Coturnix japonica: one gene and its partners. The protein of the gene in region 3 interacts with the protein of the main gene of each other region in a pairwise test. Links are inferred from orthologs where the notes say so. Each region holds a gene or a part of one and is shown on either strand. Other genes may lie near its edges.

Region 1 (7,902 bases), on a different chromosome or scaffold from region 3:
TTTATCTCCTGTATATTTGCTGATAGAAGAAAAAGTCTTTTCCTTAGCAGCATTAGCTTCTAAAATGAAAGACAGACAGAAAGAAGGACAGGCAAGCAGACAGTAAAAACAGCAAGCTCATACACTGACCTTCCATTTTAATGAAGAAGAAGGGTGAATGGAGGAGAATCAGTTTACCTCCTGGTGCTTTCTGCAGTGCTGCATATAACTGAGCATTTTGTCACTCCCCAACAAGGTCATTTTGGCCTCTATCATGCTGTGAGCTCTGCATGAGCATTTCCTCTTGCCTGCAGCTGGTCCCTCACTTCTGCATAGGGATGGATCCAACTTATCACAGGAGCCTATGGCAGGAAAATAACATCAGCAGAGCTAAAACTGTTAACGTGTCATCAGGAGTTTATTGACCATGAACGCACATTAATCTTCATTCAGAAGCCATCTTTTTGTGCTGCAAATTCAGTTTCCTTCAGAGCTATCAGGCTTCTCTCCACACATCTAAGCCACAAACATATTCTGCAGCACTGAAAAGGGAACATTTGAGTTAGCTAGTACCTATTAGCCCTTCGCTTAGAAAACATTTGCTATTTTATTTGCACAAAAAATTCCTAAGGAATGGTTACTTAAGCTTGAAGAATTATTATCCAGCTCAGTCACAAAACTCACTCCTCAAAGGAGAAAACTGTGATGTAATACCTGCAAAAGCAGAGACGTATTTTGTAATGGATTGAGACATGTCTCATTAAATTGTGTAACAATAATTCTGCAGTCTCTTTCAGGAAACAGGGAGAAATAACACTGTTACTAAATGTCTGGCTTTTTGTTACCTCATTTCACTTCCTGAATTGAAGATGATGAAAAAAAACCAAAACAAAACCCAAAACTGTTTGGTGCTCAAAATGTAGACAAATGTGCACATTTGCAAAATAAAAAGGGAAGCAGGCAGCTAGGAAACAGGCAGATCTGGGTTAAGTTCCTCATGACATGCATCATTTTTGCTTGCATAATTCTTACTCACACATACCCAGAGTCCTTTCTTCAAAAATATGTAATTACCATTTCAAGAGAAGCATTTCTGTTTATTTTGCTACAGTTACAGTGGTACAAACACCTTTTTTCTTTGCAGTTGGATGTGGGGGATGTGAGAGCCCTCCCTCGACCAGCCAAGACACAGAGATGCTGCCTCTCATCCACCCAAGCCAATCACCCACCAGGCTTCTTCAGTAGCTGCTGCATCCATCCTCTGAATTTTGCTTTGAAGCAAGATCTGCCTGCTCATTGGTGCACGTATCAGAGGAGTCATCTGAGATCACTCAGTTGCTATCGTGTTTTCTGATATTGGAGGGCATTTTTCTCTGCTGCCTCTTCCATCTTAGTGAGCCATTAAAAATCGATGCTTGATTCTAGAAAAGCAAAAATAAAACAAACACATTCACACACCCACAGAGAAACAAAAAAGCCACAAAACACCACAGCACATTGGAAAAGCTGTATTTTTACTTTCAGCAGCCAATGTTCAGTTTACAGAGCTGGAATGACATACATACCCCAATTTGTTGCAGTGATGGTGACATCCTGCTGCTAAAAGTAGAAACCTGGCCATGACTGTCCTCCCTGGCCATGCCCATCCTCTGGGATTATCAGTGGAGCTGTTTAATGAGTTCCAGGCAGGTATACTTGTGCAAACTGAGCCAAGGCCATGGCTGTACACAAATACTAACAAGCCCTAAATGGAAAACAAGGGAGCCTTTTGCAGTGGAGCCAAGAGGAGTTTATTGACAGGGTGATAATGTTTTGAGCAAGCAAGGATCCATGGAGGGGGGTTGGAGCTTGATGATCCTTCCAACCTAAGTCATTCTATAATTAATCTTCAGAGCTGATGGTGTGTTGTAGGGCTGGTAATGTGGGAAAGCAACCAAAGGCCAGGTAGTGAAAGAAAACATGGGTAGCAACCTTCCCAGCTCACCTTCCTCACTCAGAGCTGCATATGGTGCTTTAGTGTCCTCAGAGAATCACGAGGGGACTGAAAACATCTGTTCCCCATGGGTTTCATACAGGGCTAGGTGAGGACCAGAGGAGCTGCTATAAACATACAGGGCCAGACGTGATGGAGCAGGGCTGCCTTCTCATTTGGCTGATTTAGTTCAGATAAAACATAATGCAAACCTGCTTGAAAACCTTCCCAAGGTGAGGCTGTTTACTAGGGCCGTGAGGCTGTGTAGATGACCCACTAATGCTCTCCTCCATTGAGTAATGGCTGCTCTTGCATCTCCTCACAAACCACCCCAGGCCAATGTTACAGCTCAGCTACAAAGCTAGCAGGGTGTCAGGGACACAAACACACAGCCCTATCTCTGTGGGGCAAGTAGCAGGCAGGGAGTTTTCCACTTATCTGAGGGAGCAGTGACTCTCCTCAGCAAAGTTCTGCCCTCAACTCTGCTGGACGTCGTCTGGAGGGGCTGTTAAGAACGCACAGGGAGAGCGGACAGGACTTCGTGTGGAGGGCATAAAGAGCTGTCAGTAACAAAGGAGGCGTGGTGCTTCAAAGAGAACACGCCACGGAAATGTGAAGCAGAGAATAGAACCAGCGCCACCGCCATTTTACGGCTCCTCGTTCTCCGTGCCTCTCACCATCTCTCCCTTTTCGGGCGTCAGCCAATGGCGGCTCAGCGCTCACACGGTTACCACGCCACCAGCCAATCGGCGCGCAGAGCTCACTGGCTGTGTTGGCGGGCAGGAGCAGCAGCCCCCCCACATCCCCCTGCGCTCCGCGGCGGGCGGGAGGAGTGTCCTCAGCTGCTGTATCACGTGGCCTCCCATCTCGGCTGGGCGGTGTTTGCGCGGAGGAACACCATATAGTCCCTCTGTCTAGGAGCCCACGATGGAGGGAAAAGTTATTGCTGACAGCTTTTTTGGTTAATCTTTAGCAGGATGGAACGAGAGCGGCCCAGAAAGTTGAAGGTCTACAGGCTGAAGGGTGCTGACGAGAGGCGGGTGACGAAGAGCGGAAGGACACATCAGGCCGGATCTCGTTTTGATTAGCGTGAAGGTATATAAAAGCGGAGCGCGCGCGCTGCCACCTCATTGTGTGCCCTTGGCTGAGCTGACAGGTTGTAACTGTGACCGTGCGTAGCACCTCTCCGCGCGGCGCTGACCGGAGCACCAACCAACCCCCCCCCCAGCCGCCATGGCTCTCTAAGGGCGGCAGGGCCAGCGGCGGCATCGGCCAGTGCAGCGGGCGCAGCAGCAGCGGCGGCGGCCTCGGCACATCCCCGGCATCTGCAACCATGGCGTGAGTAGCGCGTGTGGGGAGTGCGCCTTGTGTGACAGCCACCCCCTGCTTCATAAAGCGGGGTTCTGGGGTGCGAAACGGACGCCCCATAGGAAAAGCTGTCTGGTTAATAGGGTGGGGGCTGGAAACCTACTTGAGGGTGACGGAAATGGCAGGAAATGACACTTTTAAGAGGAAAAATGAGCCATAATACCCTGTATTTTAGAGAAGCCCACATCCTGAAAGCTCAGGGCTGTTCTATTTTGTAAGGCTTTTGTGAGAATATTAGCTCCCTAGACGGTTGTCTTAGTAGTATAGGGGATTGTCTTTATAGAGGCGTTCCCACAGCGGATGGAGGAGTTAAACGGGGCTTCCAACGAGCGGGCATTAAGATAATCCCTTAATGCTACGGCGCTGCTGGCCGGGGGAGGAGGAGGGTTGTGGGGGGAGGGGGGGGGAATGGTGTCGAACCCAGCCTGATAGAAGGGTGTAAGGCTGTCGTGGTATTTATCATCCGAATCCACCTGGTCCATAAGTCAGCCTAGCACCAAAAGGTGCTCTGTCGTTCTATCGTCCTGTCACCTTCCCCTCCCCCCCACCCCTCCACGTTGATGGCGTTCCCATCGACACGGGGTGAAAACGTGTCACGGCACAAAATGGCGGCGGGGCCGGGTGGGGAGCGGTAGGCGGCAGATCGCGAAATGGCTGCGGCGTGGGCGTGACGTGAGTCAGGGCGCGGTGGGCGGGGCCTCGGCGGGGCGTGGGGCTGGCAATGCCGTGCTGGGCAATGGAGATGCGAATAGAAAAGCTTTTATGAAAGCAAACAAATAAAAAGCAAGAGTTTGAGGCAAACAGCCCTGAAAATGCTGCAGTCGTACAAGTCTGGTGCAACAGCACTCTCCCTGAGGCTGCGTTTTGTTGTGAAGGCTGTTTTTCCAGTAGAACAAGCACTGATGCATGCGAAAAATGTTTGTCTTACAGGTTTTTCAAGGCACCGCACAGCAGCACTGCTGTAGTCAACAAAAAGGCCCTCTCCTTGTCTACATCCTTTGACGTCAAAGCGCTAAAACCTGACCAAGATGAGCCTCTTGAACAACGAGATGCTGTTGGGGGAGTCCTCCCCCCTCAGCCAGCCGTGTTTGGTGGCTGAGGAAGGTCTGGGACTCCTCGATGACTACCTGGAGGTGGCCGAGCCCCTCGGTTCGCATGGGTTCTCCAGCGACAAGGCTAAGGCAGTCTCCTCCAATTGGCTCACTGTGGACAGTTTAGGCAACACCATAGATAGCAGCCAGGGTAAGGCACTAATTCATGTGCAGGAAGTAACACCAAAGGTGATGGCACATAATAAATAATGTAATCCTCCTGTTCAAAGATAAATTGCACGAGTTCTCTAAATGGAAAGGTAACATCACGTATGTGTCTTCTGGCCTGGGAAGCATCCATACAACACTGATTATACACAATAGCAAATGGCTCTGTAGTCGACCAGCCTGTGGAAAAATGACACTTGCATTGCCCTTTTAATAACATGCCAACTATTAAGAGTAGCCTTCCCTGGAAGAGGTCACAAGAAACAAGTGTGGTGGTGTGTTTCAAATAGGCCTGAATTCTTAGAGAGCTAAGACTAAGAGGGATGGAATGTCAGCAGCTGACAGATACATAGTATCATGCAGACTTCCCCAGTTCATAGTAGGGGGAAGGGGTCTGGTAGTCGATCTTTTTACCATTAAAAAGAATGGGGGAAGATATAACTATTTCTGGTATAACTGGTATAGAATCTCTGTGTTGGCTCATCGAAAAATATACTGTTTTTCTCCTTGTTTAGAGGATGCCTTCTCTGGCATGGAGTGGATGGTGGAGAAGATGGATCTGAAGGAATTTGATTTTGATGCCCTGTTAGGTATGGAACATCTGGAAGCCACCGTCTCACCAGACGACCTGATGGCCACGTTGGAAGACACGTGTGATCTCCTGTTTAACCCTACCACCCAGGAATTTCACAACAAAGAACCTCCACTCATACCTGATCTAATCACCAATCTCCCCGAATCTCCAATTGGAGTAGATCCCATGGCCCCATTAGGCTCCCTGTGGCCTTTTCCCCTCTCCCCAGGGTCTCTGACTTCTGTTCCAGACCATTCATTTAGTTTAGAACTAGGTAGTGAAGTGGATGTTCTGGAAGGTGAAAGGAAACAGGAGGCCCCCACCTTTCTGGTAGTGATCACGAAGTCAGAGAAAGAGGAGGAGAACCATTCTGATGATAGTGGAATATGCATGAGCCCAGACTCTTATTTGGGAACGCCCCAGCACAGTCCTACCAATTCACTTGGATCCCCTAATGACAACCAGTTCCCTGCAGATGCCACCCGTGGCTCTCTGCGTTCTAAACCATATGACCACCCTGCTGAGAAGGTAGTGTCAGCAAAGGTGAAAGGAGAAAAGAAAATAGATAAGAAATTGAAAAAGATGGAGCAAAATAAGACTGCTGCCACACGTTACCGGCAAAAGAAGAGGGCAGAACAGGAGGCTCTGTCAGGGGAGTGCAGAGATTTGGAACAGAAAAATCAGGCCCTGAAAGAGAAAGCAGATTCCCTGAGTAAGGAAATCCAGTACTTGAAAGATCTGATTGAAGAGGTGAGGAAGGCCAAAGTCAAAAGAGCTAGAGTCCCTGAGTAGGGTAGTCAGTAGTGTTTGTGTGCATGTATATATGCTTGCTGCTTAAGCTGTGTGGTGTCTAATAAATTATTTTATAGTAAACTTGCAATTTTGTGTGGTAACTGAGTATCTGTAAAATAAGGGTTTATACCATGTCGTTTGGGGCTTCAACCAGCTGGAATGTGCTGCTCCACCCAAGTGTGCAAATAGCATTTACTGTTAATGTGGTTCAAGTGATACAGTACATGTTACAGCTCATGTGTAGCTGAGAATACTTGCAGATATCTAGTAAAATGGAGGGGATCAAGTGGAGATAGTCCCAGATCTTGAATAGCAAAAGCAAAATCATAAAGGTTCAGCCTTACAAGGAGCCATGTAAGTATGTTTATAAATATGGTTTGGAGAAGTCTCTTGTGGGAGTTACTGGGTTTTGACAAGCTGATGGCTTCAAGCAGTTCCCCAGGGTGTTAATTCCTTCTCTCTTGCACTGACTTGTCCAATCATACTGCACAAGCATCCACATGGAGCTGGTGTGTCTGCAGCCTTTCAGGGGCAGCCAACAAGCTGATCTTATGCTGGTGCCCCTTGCAATGATGCTGTTTCCATACTTAGTAACTTAGTTAAGACTTTGCACTGGCTGGAGATTAGGGCTGGCTCTTCCTCTGCATGTTCACTTAGCATTTATAAGAGCATTGGATTAAGAGATGGGAGAAAGCATCTGAGCATTAGAGAGCCTCCTGGCTGATCTCACATTGGCAGGCTGCAGGAGCCTCTTCCTTTTCTCACAGGCTCAGAACAAATGTGGTCCAACAATCCCTATGGTTTACGTGCATGGTGACACCATTCCCAGAAATAGATTTTGGTGCACAAAATAGAGCCCCCAGAGGAAGCCAGTTTTCCTGTATATTTGGAAACAGTGGAATTTTCCCAGTCTGCGCCCTATAAAAACTCAGTATTAATAGCTACCTTCCTCTTTCTCATGCATTTAGAGAGACCCAGGTGCTCTTACTTCTCTTTGCAAACGAGAAGAGGAAAACGCTGCTGCTGAGGACTCCACCGCTTACCCCTGTGAATAACCAAAGGGGCAAAAATAACCTCCATTTGCAGTGCTGGAGTATGAAATGATGGCAAATGCTTCCAAAGAGCCCTGGCGGAAAGTCCAGAACAGCAGCAAGGACAGGATGTCCTTCAGGAGAGGTGTCTTCCTCAGCACTGTGCTGGTGGCAGGGAAATGTTGGCCATGTATTGTGGTGACAGAACCACCATGTTAATTTATATAGGGCAGAGGATCTCCAAAGCACAGGATGCCTGTTGTGAACTTGACTCCTCTGCATCACCACTGCAGTGCCTGGACAACTGGAAAAGAACATCCTCTTTCCCCTCCATTAATTACAAGTTAGTGGAGGAGATAAATAAGCTTTCTTGCATGCAAATGGTGCTGCTCAACTTGGCTAGGTTGCTGCTCAGCCCTGCCAACAGCTAATTCCTTAAGAACAAGGTGTATGTAACCCTGCAGGCAGAGCAACCGTCATGATTTCCATTTCCCCTGCCCCCAACAGTCAGTGGCTGGTGCTGTTAATCCTCTTTAATGTAACTACGGATAGTCATACAAACCTTTAATCCATCTCAAACCTACTAACCGTTCAGCCTGCTTCAGCTGGAGTTCCTGGTTTTGAGCCATAAATAAGCATTAGGCAGCTTGCCTCCTTTTACATTCCTCAATTGACTGTTCTTGTTTCGAGGTGAGAAACTTCCATGTGCTTCACCATTACATTTGTGAGCTATTTGGGGCACTGCTGCTGTGTGCCCCTTTCTGTGGTAACCAGCCCCTTACCTGAGGTGTTCGGAGCCTATCGGTGTTGTAGGCGTGGATCCAACACTGTATGAATCAGCAGCAAGATTGGAAGGGAAGTCAGTCCCAAAATACTTGCCAAGGGCTGAGATTCCAAAAGGTTTCTAGGACCCCTCTCAACCACGGT
Region 2 (8,118 bases), on a different chromosome or scaffold from region 3:
CCCAAATATTGGTAAAACACTACAGGCCACCACAGTAAATGGGTCCTGAAGTCTGTTGCAAGGCCTTCGGAAATACTGAGAACGTTTCAATATTCCATGTTTCTTTTCAAACGTAAACTGAACATTTTCCAATTCGTTAACTGTGAAAACACATGGCAGCATTCTTTGCCTCCTCTCAGTAACACAGGCTGCACTGTAATATGAAAAACTAAGGAGAGAGAAGTACACAGGAGATTTTAACATTCATCATATATCCTTTAGAAGAAAGCAGGACATATCAACAGCAGAATAGGTAGCAATACTAGGCTGTCCATTAACCTGGACACAAGTCTCATTTTCAAAGATGTCTTCCAGACCAGAAGTGCTAGAAAGATTTCCTTTTTAAATTAAAGTCTTAATTTCAACGCATCATAAAGCAACAGTTTCTGCAAATTGAGTACTACAAAACACAGAGTTCTATCTCAACACCACCAGTTACAGTTAAGACTGGGAAAAGCAAATGGGAAAATGAGTCCAAAAGCATTTCATCTTTTGGTTGCTAATGACAGAGATGCAATTCCTGTCTGACAACTGTGTAAAATGAGATAATCATCTCAGCCTTGCTCTTGAGGGACAACTGTCCATATCACAGTTGCCATTAATCATATTTCCCTTCTGACACTTGAAGGGCCAAAGATCCAAACTGTGACACAGACTGAATTTCCCACTACATAAAGGTCAGCTGACATTTAGGGGAGGATGCAAAGATACCAGCACCTCTAGATAAAGAAAAAAACTGCTCCAGAGACACAAGCAGCATTAAGATCTATTTTTTGGGGGAGGGGGGAAAGAAAAAAAAAAGTACTGCATTTGTCAAAATCCTATTGGATAGGGAAGTATTATTAAAACCCCTTAAACTGTTTATTCTGTTTCAGTTGAAGCTCTCTGACTTCTGATTTGACCCTACACACTTTCAAGACAAAATCCAAGGAACTTACAGAATACATACTAAAATATTAATGCAACTTTCTAACCCTTCAGTAATGTAATCCTTTCCCCACAACTCTCCAGACTTTCTTATTTCATTTTTATCTTAGGACCTGACATACACTCAGTTCTCAAAGACAGATAGAGCGCACACTGGGCAGAACTATACTGCTTCCACTATAAAGTCAACTTTTGGATATATGAATGATCAAATTTATATGTACAAATCCATACACACATCTAAAAGTCTCCGTACTAAAATACTGATATCTTCGTTGCTTCTGCTGAAGCACTTACACATGAGAATTTACTATGTATCTATTACTTATGTATCTAAGCGTTGGCTTTAGAAGTCTAATCTATGTGTTCATGTTTAATATTCTTAATGTAAACTCTCAATGACATAGCACTTTCAGACAAATGCTTCTGTACAGTACCTTGCACTTCTATTTCAATAAACCATATTAATCATTTTTCTTTTAGATACTTTTGTAAAAAAAATAAATGACGCAGAAAAGCTGCAGTACTCCACCTCAGAAAAAGCTACATTTAAGGCAGTGATAAACATCTGATGCATATACCAACACTGTCAAAATCTATGTTCTCTAAAAATCACCTCCTTCTTTGAATGTATCAGTATATCCTGACTTCAGTACTGTTGTCTTTTAGACTGTGAAATTTTCATTGCAGAGATTGTCTTAAGTTTGTGTATGTGAGTCAGCACTGAATGCCCTGTCAGCAATTAACAAATAAATAGCAAACAATTATAATAATGCATATGACTTTCAACCCTGGATGTCTGTCATGAATAATTAAAGCTCTGACAGAAAATAAAAAAATCTTTAACATCATAACCAAGAGAGAAAAAAAGCATTTTATATACAAGAAAAAAAAAATAATCATTGAGAGAGCAAATTTTCCTAAGTCTGGCACATATACATTCTGTAAAGTGCTCTGGCACCCATCAGAGCCAAAAGCACTTGAAAAACTTCAAGTCATTACTGTGATGATGAATGTAGAGCAAGGTAAATTAACCTCCAGAGTATGACAAGTCTGTTAATCCCCCCCCCCCCCTCAATGTACAAAGGCCAAAAATGCCCTAGTTATCTCTTTCCTTGCACTAGATAACACTGTACTCAAAACAGGTTGATTGCATAACTGCAGGACAACAGGTAGGAGAGCATCTAACAATATCCACAAAATATACATACGCTTCTTGATTCAGTCCTCCCTCAGAAAGGGGCATCTTCTCAAGCTAAGGATAACTGTCAAAATTTTTAGCATAGATTGGGAATCACTTTGGATGAACCTGGAGGCATTTTCAGTTTGATCTTACTGACAAATTACACCAAGTTCTTTCTTCATGGACTCCCTGTTAACCACGGTGATCCCAAATAGATTCTGAAAGGGTTCCTGTCCTGTCCTGGTCAAGTGCCCTTTGATCTTGGATTTCCTCACTGCAGAACACAAACATAAATATCTCAGGTGAGATACCCTTAGACTCAATTCTTCTCCCACAGGAATCTGCTGTGGTTTCATTTGAGATGAATATTCTCTTAAACTTGTTTTTTTTTTAGGAAATCACTTCAGTGTCAGAATATTAATTTGAGACTGAAATTAACTGTTTCATCTACAGAAAGCAACCTGCTTGGCTCACCACAGCATCAGCATTACCATTCACATTCCTAGCTCCCAAACACAGCATAAAACACACAGGAAGACTACAGAATGGCTTGGTTTGGCTTTCAGATCAGGTTCCACTAGCATTATTCCTAGGCCCCAAGCCCAACAGAACCCACTCTCAAGGGCAATCATACCAGAACTCATCCTGCAGTCTCTAGGTACAATAGGACAAGTATCCCAAAGTACTACCTCTGAGATCTGTATGTCCAGCTTCCAAGCATAGTAGTTTGCAGCCCATATTTACTTCATTCCCATAGTAATCCACATTGTAGTACACAGATGGAGAACTGATGCTCCAACCCCATGAGCACAACCTTGAACACCAGTACTACTACTCACCATTCCTGTCTACAGAATGTCTTGTGTTGTTTAAAAACATCACCCTTCTCAAAGACACCTAAATGGCTGGTGATGATTAAAGGCCTAGGATGAATACAGCATTGCCAACAAGTGTAAGGGAGAGGACAAAGGTTTCTTACAATTGATTAGGGTTAAGGTATCCAAGAAGACTAAACAATGAAAGAATCAGATCAATTCCATGTAGTGTAAAAGATTGCCAAATGAGAAAAACCCACACAAAAAGGCTTGAGAGAAGTTCAGAAAGGAGAGGAAAAAATAATAATAATAAAAAATAATAATAATAAAAAATAATAATAATAAAAAATAATAATAGCAGATACAGTGAGAAAAGAGACATTGGAAATAAGGATAACACTTAAAAGAGAAGGTCAGATACAAATAGGAGGCAATACAATGTAGTCACTCACTTTGTCTGGAAGATTTTTCAGAGGGAGGCAGATTATCTTCACTGTTGATTTCTGGGGGTGCTGTTCTTCACACTTCTTCTCTGAGAGCCATCCTCAGAGAGTCTTGTTGACAGCTATTCCAAGAGCTTCTTCAAGAAATATTTTGAGAGCAAGGGGATTGTGAACGAAACCAGAATCTTGAGTATTAAAACAATCTGCTCGGGATCTTCACTCCCCTGAAACTGCTGTTTTTATCCCTGGATGGAGATCCTCTCACTTTTGGCAGCTAACTACTGTCTCCCTGGGGAGAAAGCCTTGTCTTTTCCTCACTGGCTGCCAGGCTGGGGATATTGATCTTAAATAATCTCCCTACCTGGAAGTCTCTCTTCTTTTTCCTGTAGGCGCACCTTGTCCTTAAGGGTGGGCAGATCTTTTTCTCTGAAAGAATTTTTGTCAGTTCTGTAGACAATATCAGCAAAAACTGTGTAAAAACAGTGGCAGACAGCAAGGGGAAAAAGGAGTATCCAAATCTGGTTGTGCTTTCTCTCCCTTGTTTTACTTTCTCTGCCGTCTACTGACCAGATGTAAATAATTAAAATTATCTGGTAATTATCTGGAGCTCCTGCTTATTTCTATTTTGGAAACTGCCTCCCTTGAGCATTTGAAGATTCTTCTGTAGAGGCTCCCTGCTTACTATCTGATCTAGGGAAGAGGCTATTAAGGGCTGGCTCCTCTCTTGAGGAAAGAATCCCCTCACCCAGCAGCTCCGAAGTAAGGGGGAGTAGGTAGTCACGGTTATTCTTGCAAACCTCAAAAACTGGGGAAATGAGGATCCCTCTCACTTACATAGGTATCAAAGGATCTCCAGGAGGTTCTCTTCCACTTCGAGGTTAGAGTAGATTTGCTTCTCTATCGGGATTTGCAGCTGTGCCCTGTGCCCACCCTCAGCTAGTTAGCGGGGTTGGGAGCCACTGCTAGGTTCCCCTTAGCTAGTTAACGTGGAAGGGGCCGGCAGGTCCACCCTCGACAAGGGCCCACCGGGTGCTCCGGCTGCGAGCAGGGCTGCCCGACCAGGTGCTTCCCTCCCGGCTACGGATGGAGCAGGCGGGCAGTCTCTCCCCCACCCCAGCGGAATACGGGGGTGTTCCCCCACCCCGGCTGCCCGGAGGCCGTCCCTGGCTTCCCCCCAGGCCCCAGCTCCTCTTGCCCGGGCCCGGCTACCACGGGAGGCCACAGCGGCTCGCGAAACAGAGCAATTGCCTCCGCCGCCTTCTGCTGCGCCTCAGCTTCGTCCCCAGAGGGCTCCCCGGGCTCCGGGGGGCCCCAGCCGAATGGCGCTGAGTCTCTCCAGGCCCCACCGCTCCCGCAGCTGCTGCTCCGGGCTGCGGCTCCACTGCAGGCCCCGACTCCTCCCCGGCCTCCGCTCCGCCTCCCTCAGCTCCCCTCAGCCGCTGCCACCCCCGCCTCCCCGGGTTAAGGAGGCGCCGGGCTGGGGCTGCTGCGGCCGCTGTGTGCGCGCCCACACTCGGTGTCCGTGGAGAACTGTGTGCATAGTTTGGCCCGAGAAGCCTGGATGCACGCTCACAGGACAGGGACACGGGCACCCGCTGGCAACCCAAACTACTCCAACATCGCCGTTCCACCCCAGGGCCTTGCTTTGCCCCAGAGATACCTGTAGGTTTTTGGACCCTATAGGCCCTTGGGACACTGACACTACTTCTTGTTGCATCTCCCAGCCTGCTGGGACAGCTGTTGAGGCCCCTGCATAACTGTCACTCACCCAGACAGTGTTCATCTGCTCCAGCTTTAGGACACGACTCATCCCACCCACCTGACACTGCTTCTAAACAGTCACCAGCCACTCGCCTTCACAGCCCCCACACCTCTGGCAAATGACCTGCTGCCTGGGGTGGGCCACTCCCCAGCATCTTTTTGGCAGAAAAGCTCATTTTGGAGACACAGAGTAAGACAACTGCCCATTATTCTAGAAAATTAAAGGAGACTTTCCAGTGAAGTAAATCATATAATAGGGCAAATACTCCACAATACATGTGGGAGAAAGAACAGCCATTGTATGGGATCCCCCTTAATCAAAGGCCAGTGATGTAGGCAGACCACTACCACTCAGACATCTGAAACGTACAAACATGTAGCAGACTCAGGTTCCATGCCTTACGTGAAAGATTCACTGTATTTTATAATCTCTTCTTTCCATGGCTAGTTTCATATTTGCATTTCTCTGAACGCTGACTCTGCTATAAGGCATGGAGACATTAAGCATGAGTAGGGGAAACACTGCATTTTCTGAGTAGATTTTATCTTCCTTGAACTGCAATATGAGAACTGTTCAATGGTAGAGGGACTGCTGTGAGACATACTGCTTCCAGAAGTAATGCCTCCTATTTTATTATGTTGGCCCACGATGTCAGAGGTGGATGTTGGCAGAACGGCAGTAGTGGCTGAACTATCCTAACAATATTCCTTTAGATTCTGTTGCCATGCAACAGATGGAAGCACAAGGGAAGTTTGACAGAATGGCGTCTGACATGGAAGTGTGTATGAAGCAGAAGTATGTCATTGAATTCCTCCATGTGGAAATAAAAGCACTCATTGACATTCATTGATGTTGAAAGTTAATGGAGACCAAACAGTGAATGTGAGCACAGTGAGACAGTAGGTGGTGCATTTCAGCAGAGGCAACAGTGGGTCACCTCTACTGGCGCAGGTTTTGATGAGCATGGCATGCAAGTTCTCATTCATTGCTGCTGCAAATGCATGGTTAATGATGGTATGTTGGAAAATATTGTTTTGTAACTGCAAATTTGCTCTATCAAGCAGAGTTACTGAGCTCATTTTATCTTTCACAGTTTCCATGGCAATAAATATGAGAACAACCTACATACATGCAGTCCAAGAAAATTTTTCACTCAGTGCGGCCCAGATAAGCCAAAAGGTTGGGCATCCATTCCTTAGGACACCTCTTAGAGCTAGGTGTTATTCATTACACTCTGCTATTTCCATACCAAGCCCTACAGTCCTCCTCTATATAGGATCTATGTCCATATTGTACATTGGCTCCTCATTACTCAAGAGACAAGACAGAAGCACTGTTTTGCTGGGAAGCCCTGATGAGAGAAGAAAGGAAGACCCAGGGAACTACAAGCTGAGGCTCACTTCTGTGCCTGGGACAATCATGGAGCAGATCCTCCTAGAATCTATGTTAAGGCACATACGAGAGAAAGAGGCAATCTGAGACAGCCAGCATAGCTTCACCAAGGGCAGATTGTGTCTGACCAATCTGGTGGCCTTATATGATGGACTGATGGCATCCGTGGACAGGGGAAAGGTGACGGATGTCATCTATCTGGACTTCTGCAAATGCTTTGACATGGTCCCTTACTGCATCCTTCTCTCTCAATTGGAGATTTGAAGGATAGACTGTCCAGTGGATTAAGAAATGGTTAGCTGGCCACAGCCACAGGGTTATGATTAATGCTTCTGTGTCAGGGTGGAGGCCAGTCACAAGCAGTGTTCCTCAAGAGTTGGTCTTGGGATCAGTGCTCTTCAACATCTTCATCAGTGACATAGATGATGGCATCAAGTGCATCCTCAGCAAGTTTGCAGATGACACCAAGCTGAGCGGTGCAGTTGATACACTGGATAGAAGAGAAGCCATCCAGAGGGACATAGACAGGCTGGAGAAGTGAGCCCATGAAAACTTAATAAGATTCAAAAGCCAAGTTCAGGTGCTGCACTTGGGACAGGACAATTCCAGCTATTTACACAAACTGGGGGAAGATCTCCTTGAGAGCAGCCCTGTGGAGAAGGTCTTGGGGGTCCTGGTAAATGAGAAGCTGGACATGAGCCAGCCGTGTGTGCTTGCAGCCTGGACAGCCAACTATATCCCGGGCTGCATTAAAAGAGGAGAAGTCAGCAGGGAGAGGGAGGTGATTGTTTCCCTCTACTCAGCTCTTGTGAGGCCCCATCTACAGTACTGTGTCCAGGCCAGGGGCCCCCAACACAAGAAAGACACAGAGTTCTTGGAATCGGTTCAGAGGAGCACCATTAAGATGATCAGAGGGCTGAAGCACCTCTTCTGTGAATAAAGGTTGAGGGAACTGGGCTTGTTTAGCTTAGAGAAGGCTCTGGGGAGACCTCATTGTGGCTTTCTAATATTTGAAGGGAACATATAAGCAGGAAGGGGAAAGACTGTATCTGAGGGTGGACAGTGATAGAACGGGGAGGAATGGTTTTAAACTAAGCTAGGAGAGGTTTAGGTTAGATATTAGGAGGAGGTTTTTCATACAGAGGGTGGTGATGCACTGGAACAGGTTGCCTGAGAAGGTTGTGGATGCCATGTCCATGGAGACATTCAAGGCCAGGCTGGATGTAGCTCTGTGTAGCCTGGGCTTGGTTGGTGTCCCTGCCCATGGCAGGGGGGTTTAAAACTAGATGATCATTATGGTCCTTTTCCACCCATGCCATTCTATGATTCTATTATATCACTATAAATCTTGACAGATGGATCAGGGATGGTTGGCACTTCTGATGTCTGTGAAAGTACAGGAGGTGGCTTTGGTTCTTTGCAATTACAACAATGAAACTTAGGATATTTGGAAAGGAATTATCTTTCCCATCGTGGCTAGATTTCCATTCCTTCCATTTACAACCAGTAACAAGCACACACCTCAGCAATCTAGTAATGCATAACATGCCATCTAGC
Region 3 (7,361 bases):
GTGGTGTGCCCCTGCACAGCAGCATCCAGGCAGTGACACAGCCTAACAGCAGATGAAGGAATATAATCGCCCTCCCTACTCAGCCGTGAGAGACTACTTCTAGATATTGAGTTCAGATCCATAAATTAACACATCATGTCATCTGCCATCACTCTTGGTGCTAATACTGGCAAGAAATGAAAGGAGATGTTTGAGAGGTGGGAACAGGACTTCTATTGCCACGTTTTTAGAGCAAACTCAATAGAAGGTAAGTGGTATCATTACCAAGTAGTTCCAGCAGTGAAGGAGTGACTGTGGGACAAAGATCTTGTATCCAACCAGCAGTCTCTCCTGCTTTTCCCTTCTTTAGATGCTAATGGTGGTTTCTGAAGTTTAATGTTTTTGCTGTAAAAACCCTTTTAAGACCCTTTGTCTTGAATTCACTTGTGTGGTTTGGAATAAGTCATACTGAGTTTATCTCATCATTCAAGGTGAAATTTCCACAATGAATTAAATGATTGTTTCAGCAGCTCTACAGATGATCAAAGCTTCTGAAAACTGTTTGGTAGCTTTGTGGCTCAGTCCGTGAAAACAAACATGTGCTGCCCTGTGCAAACACAGCACAAAAAAGTTGCACATTTTGCTCTGTGGACTTCTACCCACCCTTCCTAGGGAACCTCACTTTGTGTTGGATCAGGGGGATGCATATGACAGAGGTTAGAAGATATGAAAAGTAGACAGAGGTAGTAAGGCATGATGTCCTGGGACCGCTTTCTACTTTCATTATGACTGGCAATTCAGTTTTGCAATGACTGCTCAGCTTTAGAAACTCGAGCAAACTTCATCTCGAACGGCTTCAGAGTCACGTAGCTTGTAGAGAACAAAAATATTGCATAATAAATACCTTTTTTTTGTTGTTGTTGTTGTTTGCTTTTTTTTTTTTTTTTGTCTTGGTGAGCATACTGTGAAATATGAAGGTTATCTGTTTCCTGTTTGGAATTTCATGCTAACTGATCTACCCAGTGAAAAAAGCGTGTGTGAAAAATCCTCCTGGTGCAGCTTTTGGAGCTAAACTGGTGGTGGGAGGAAGCTCAGAGAAGAACAAATAAATGTGAGCATCTTTGAGAAATAATTTTCCACAATCTTTATCTTTTTTCAGGCTATGGTTGCTTGTTATCCTGGAAATGGAACTGGGTATGTGCGTCACGTGGACAACCCAAATGGTGATGGGCGCTGCATTACCTGTATTTATTACCTGAATAAAAACTGGGACTCCAAGGTGAGTGAGCCAGAAGGCTAAGGCAGAGCATGAATTACAACTACTTCAGAAACTTCAGAGCTTTGGAGAAGTCAGCTGATTCTGCAAACTGTGATGAACTTTTGAACAGCTTGTCCATTTTTTCATTGCTTTACATACATTTATTGGTGTTTATAGCAACCTCTTGGAAGTAAAAATCTGAACCGTTTCCTTATCATTCTGTCTCCCATCCCACACACATGTTGTTTTGTTATTATAGAATAGCACTTGTAAGCTCTGGGCTGTGGCACTTAGTTTTGTTTAGAGAAAAAGAGCAATGAAGCTCTAGAAAGAATCATAATCCCCTGAGGAGTAAGTGGATTCTGTAAGCTGAATAAAATGACAGCCCAAATCTAGCATTTAGACTTACAGAAGTTCTTAATGCAGTTGCTTTTGTGGTTTTCTTCCTTACAATGGAGAGTGATCAGGCTCTGGAATGGGCTCCCCAGAGAGCCTGGCTCCAAGCCTTCTGGGGTTGAAGAGGTATGTGGACAATGCTCTCAGATATTGGGTGGTCCTGTGTGGAGATAGGTCTGGTGATCCTAGTGGATCCCTTCCAGCTCAGGATGATCTATGAATGAGCACATGACTTAGCTTGTTCTCTGCATCCTTAATCACCACTGGGTCTCCTGACAGGGAGGTACTCTTGCTTCTGTTTGTATTACTAAAAACAATTAAGTCAGCCTGGAATTTACCATACTTTTAATATGGAAACAAAATGAGGGTTTATAAACCACAAGATGCCACTGTTTTCTTTCTTGGATTGTTTACTTTACCCCTTGATGTTTATGCTGAAACATTGCAAACTGTTTGAAAGTTGAGGTGGCCAGGAGATGCAGTGTACAGTTCCAGTGTTGTCATATAGCTGCTTTGGTTATCATTAAATGTTTACTCAGTTTGGATGATGAGGAAGTGAAAATATGTTGTTACTCACATCAATATGTGGCTGTTTATATGTGTAACAAATAACCCTTCCTTTTCTTTCAGCTCCATGGTGGAATTCTTCGAATATTCCCAGAAGGGAAGTCCTATGTAGCAGATGTTGAGCCAATTTTTGACAGGTTGCTTTTTTTCTGGTCAGATCGAAGGAACCCTCATGAAGTCCAGCCTTCTTATGCAACCAGGTAGGTAGTACATTTGATGCTGAAGTTTTGCCAGGAAAAAACAAAGTATGTCTCCTATCAATATCACATCATTTGTATCTAAAATTAGGGCTACTGTGTATTTAAGACATATGTGTGTAAAAAGTAGCCAGATTTTGAATAGATTTCATATTTTTCAGTTACTGGAATTTCTCTCATCAAATGAAGAATAGCAAGCTTGAAAGATAAGATACTTGTTGTGATGAAAAAAAGTCCTTCACTAGTGACAGAAGTCTTCCAAGCTGGGCATAGCTGTTTAGATGGGAAATGTTAGGTCACTCTTTTGCCCTCATAACACTACAGGGATTCTTGGGGCTACCGTCTGTCACCAGGCTATGAAAAGCTGATGTGACATAGGGCGGCTCCAAGCTGCCTAAAGGCATCCCAGAACAGAAAAGCATGCAGAGGTCTGTAAGCTATTTTGCTCTCTGTTACCAAGGGCTGTGCACTCTTTTATGCTTTCAAGCAGAAATTCTCACCTATATTCCTGTCCTACTTGTCTGAATACACATATGAAGGGCTATCTGTGTTTGTCTTCAAATATGTGCCACTAGTATCCTTTTTAAATTTATGAATTGTTTTGTTGTTTGATTTCTGCATAAGAACTAAACTTATTAGCAAAACTTGAACCAAACACAAGATTTCTTTCTTTTATAGATATGCCATGACTGTGTGGTATTTTGATGCTGAAGAAAGAGCAGAAGCAAAAAAAAAGTTCAGGAACTTAACCGGTATGAGTTTTACAAAATATTGTAGCTGGAAGAGTAAGACCTTCCTTTTTAGGACTAGTGATCAGATATGAAGTAGGACAGTTGGGAAAGAAGAAAATGAAGGCCTGGCCTCAGTAACCCTAATGGGGAGTATGGGAGAGGTGATTTTTAAAATTTTTATTCTAAATCTACAGCTGAGATGTCAGTTTTACCTTAGGAGTAACTTCTGTGTGGGTGTGTTCGTAATAACCTTGGAATGAGTAGACTATGTAAGATAGAAGGAAACAAAGTTTGTAAATACATAGGAGTACACCTTTTGGCACAGTTTGCTGGAGTAGCTGTGGTAATGATGGTTTCCATGAGCTGCCTGCTTTCAGCTGGTTTCACAGATGGCTTGAAATCATCCCAGAAACATTTCTGTGGAACCCCAGGATGACCTGACTCCAGCTTTCTGGTCTGCAGCACCTGATACTGAAGTACTAGCATACAAGTAGGGGACTGAGGATCCTGATATGCTCAAAGCATTGCTGTTTGGATCAGTTTCATTTCTGGTCTTTAGGGACTGCTTCAGGCAGTTCCTCAGAATGTGGTATTGAAAGTATTCTTTTTCAAATGTATGCTATTCAGATGGAGACCATCAAAACCATAATTAATCAAATGGTTTTCAGAATAGATGTCATTTCTGTAGCTGGCAGGCAGAACAAATGGAGACTTCATTCTTAGATGGGAATACGAGCAAGGGACCAAGATTTGGGGAAAAATTACCACAAATCTGGAGTCTCTGAAAGATAATTGGGCTACTTAAATGCTGCGTGACTTATATTCAGCATCAACAGGGTAACGATACAAAACCTTAGTAGAACTGTCTTGTTAACATGTTGTGGATTCGTGTAGCATTTAAGCCTACATGATGAATTCTTATCAAGAGTCTCAAGTGGAAGGGCTATCCATTGAAAACAAACCATCTTTATTCTGCTTGTGTTTTTGGATGAATGCTACTGGAACTTTCTCACTTAACTCTCTAATTTTTCTGGTCTTTTTGATGTAGACGCAAGGAAGAGAGAAGCAGCTCTTAATGAAGACTAATCAACAATTTCTGAACTTTGTGAAGAAATAGGATCCCAAAGATGACTTCTATTTCCAGTGAACCATGGCACATTTTTGTTATGCACAAGAACGCACTGGTTGTGTCTCTGTCTAGCATGTGCATCTTGTATTGATGGTACTTAAGGCAGCCTCCTGTCGTGCCTGCATCTGGCAGAAGGAACCTTTGTTTTCTATTTGCCTTTTGCTGGAACAAGTAACCAGGGTTTTAATTTAAAAATAAATAAATAAAAGGGAAAAATAAAAAAAGCCTAGTGGTAGTGGCTCGACCAACTGGCTTTTGATCACTTTTGTAACCAAGGTAACAATTGTTGGAACTAGTGAGAAAAACTTGAGTCTTATTTGCACTTTACTGGGGAAAAAATATAAATCTAGCTCAATGGAAAGGAGCTTTGCAAGTTTAAAATCTGTGGCAGACTGCTGATGGGCAAGAAGAGATATTGGAAATGTGATATTAAACTGGATTTTTTTTAGGGTCTTCTATGGTATGTCCCACATGGGCTTGTTCATGGACTGCTCATCAGCTTTGCTGTATGGAATATTGGCTCAGCTCTTCTGTAGCAGGAGTTACCAAACAGACTTCTGTTTTCATCACATTTCTTGGAGTTCGGTTGCTTTTGTTAGAGCTGTGCCATTGCACTTCCCTTTCTGTCCCATTCTGGAGAGGGAAGTGGCTATGCATCAGTCCACACCTTTGTAAAGGCATTCTCTTTCTGTTCTGAGCTGGATTGGTTTTGTTTTCTATTTTCACTGTTTGTTAAAGCATCTGTTTCCTCCCAGAAGTTCAGTAAACTTTGAAGGCTGATGGCGCAGAATGCACTGGCTCTAAAGGCCATCAGTTAGGTAGAGCTGAATGTCTTTTTAATGACTCTTCTCCATCAAGCATATTTTGTATGACACAGATGTGAATCTGAAATGAAATATGTCTGGCAGTCTGACAAATGTATGGTAATGACTGTTGACATGAAGTTGATTTCTGTGCTGCTTATCCCTACTTAAGACACTTGTTTAGCTTTGTTTGCATGTGTATGAAATTTGAATGAAACAGTGATTCTGTTTCAATTCTATTATGCCTGGTAACTACTTCTGTTATGTTCAAGCCATGAGATATACAACAGATTATTCAATTGGCAGAGCACTTTGTTTTTTCTCCATTATTTTCTAAAAACTTAGACTCAATGAGTAACTGCTGAGTTATGTCCAATGTGTTTAAGCTACAGTCCACAACAAGCACTTACTGTGCAGTTTGGAATAGCTCTTAATGGAGCTGAGAGTTTTTTCTGTGCCACTTGCCCACAGTAGCTGACGTGGCCTTCCTGAGCTGCCGGTCCCCAGACCAGTCAACCACACCATGCCAGGCTGTTGTACTGTCAGTGGGCCTGGGCCTGTTGCACCTCAGCTAGGGAGTGAACAGGAAGCGTGTAGTAGCTGCTATTACATTGCAAAAGGGTGACAGCTACAAAGGACAAAATTCCCTTATGCTAAACAATGATAATAGAAATGGTGTATTTCTTAAGCAGTTCTGTGTTAGTAAAAGCTGTTCTTGAATTTTGAATGTAAATACAGTAGTGCTATGAAACCCCTCGACCTCTCTGTCTTCTCCCAGAGATCCAGCTTTCGTCATGTGGACTGGACTTTGTTCAGCCTGACTGTGCACCTTAGGGGAGGAATATGAGGGAATGTGTCACAAACACTCTCACAACTTAAAACTAGGAAAAAACAAATAATTTGATGTCCTTTAATGTTAGGAAAAACATTATTCTGCTTCACTTGCATCTAAATAATGCAACATAGACTTGAAAGAAACTTAATGATGACTTGAAATTCTCATTCTTCAATGTTTGTGTGTGGAGAAAGTTAGGTCTGTTCCCCAAGTGTGAGAGGTAACCCTTTGGAAGATGGTAGGTGTCAAATTCTTTGAAAGGGTCAACGAGGGGATTGTTATTTAAAAGGTGGGAGAAAAAAAAATCTCATCTTGTTGTATTGCTATGCAAAATTGATAATGGAACATGAGTTTTAAACTTCTGTGTACTTTTAAGCGAGGCCAAGACAGCTTAATACAGCAGGTCAAGTCTCGCTTTGTATTTGGAGACTGTAACATTAAAACGATGCACTAGGAAGATGTTAGTACAGCTCTCATTGGAGCCTGGAACAGTGGAAAAATGGTAGGGTGGAAGGGGAAAAGACTTGTATAAAGTTTGGGAAAGAAAGGTACTTTGGTTATTAAGAGCTACCATCTGCCTTCAGCAGTGAGCAGCAACACATGGTGGATGGAGGTTGGAACAGTATAGATGCATTTATTGTAAATAAAGTACATGTTTTCATTTTTAGCCTATATCTTCCTGGTCTAGATAGAGAAAACAATTATCCTGTGGCAGAGAACATTGCCGCCTTCTTTGTTAACACTGTAGTGAAATACAAAACAAAAGACAAAACCAAAAACAACAGTTTATGACACAGGATATTGAAACCAATTCCTGTCCTCTGTTTCAGACCTTTGCCCCCTTTCCAGGTCAGTGGAATGGTCTCCTCAAAGATGCTGTAATATAATTGGGTGGCGGTGTGGTGATTGATGGGCATGTAGGAATCCAGTCTAATGTTTTCTACATAGATTTCTCATAGCTGCAAACTGTTCTGTTGGAATGTAATTGTGTAAGAATTCTAGGGGCAGCAGAGGGCATTTCAAGGAGATTCTTTCCTTTCTCTGGGTTTTGTTTTCATGGCAAAGTGGCTGAAACATTAATGGCCAAAGGGCACTTCTCATCCAGTTTTGAAAAGGCATTTAATTTTTAGTGCTCAAAAGCTTTTCACTTTTAGGTAATGTGCCTTCTTTATTCATATTTGTGGAGATGCTACCTGCCACATGTACACATCCTGCAGTTCGTTGTGGCTCTTTAGCAAATATATTTGCCTTTCCAAATGCAATTTCATTCAAATCGGGGTACATTGGGAAATATGCAGAGCCACCAGGCCACAGTTTCTGATAGATGAGGTTTGTTGTGCAGGAAGAAAAAAGGCCAGGAGACAGTTGACTAGTCCAGAGGCTATTTGTAATGAACCTGTAACAAAACTTGCAGGCTTTTTGGGCACAGTAGCCTCTAATAAGTCTAATTTTCTCTAGATTACTTC

Evidence for each region. The genes of interacting proteins can lie anywhere in the genome.
Region 1: the proteins of EGLN3 (region 3) and ATF4 interact in a two-hybrid assay, tested with the Homo sapiens proteins (2 studies listed by BioGRID). The link is inferred for Coturnix japonica from reciprocal best matches to the Homo sapiens genes EGLN3 and ATF4.
Region 2: the proteins of EGLN3 (region 3) and FOXJ2 interact in binary tests that used the Homo sapiens proteins (3 or more experiments, as listed by UniProt). The two-hybrid records come from large-scale screens. The link is inferred for Coturnix japonica from reciprocal best matches to the Homo sapiens genes EGLN3 and FOXJ2.

What each region holds. Positions count from the first base shown.
Region 1 is NC_029516.1:46,169,303-46,177,204, reverse strand, and holds ATF4 (cyclic AMP-dependent transcription factor ATF-4), read left to right. Parts: upstream 1-3,085; 5' UTR 3,086-3,289; intron 3,290-4,249; 5' UTR 4,250-4,347; coding exon 4,348-4,561; intron 4,562-5,093; coding exon 5,094-5,944; 3' UTR 5,945-6,032; downstream 6,033-7,902. UniProt on the Homo sapiens protein: Transcription factor that binds the cAMP response element (CRE) (consensus: 5'-GTGACGT[AC][AG]-3') and displays two biological functions, as regulator of metabolic and redox processes under normal cellular conditions, and as master transcription factor during integrated stress response (ISR).
Region 2 is NC_029516.1:68,472,154-68,480,271, forward strand, and holds the start of FOXJ2 (forkhead box protein J2), read right to left. Parts: upstream 4,818-8,118; 5' UTR 4,242-4,817; intron 3,545-4,241; 5' UTR 3,417-3,544; intron 1-3,416.
Region 3 is NC_029520.1:32,323,177-32,330,537, reverse strand, and holds part of EGLN3 (egl nine homolog 3), read left to right. Parts: intron 1-1,138; coding exon 1,139-1,258; intron 1,259-2,263; coding exon 2,264-2,400; intron 2,401-3,075; coding exon 3,076-3,149; intron 3,150-4,176; coding exon 4,177-4,214; 3' UTR 4,215-7,361. UniProt on the Homo sapiens protein: Prolyl hydroxylase that mediates hydroxylation of proline residues in target proteins, such as PKM, TELO2, ATF4 and HIF1A. Target proteins are preferentially recognized via a LXXLAP motif.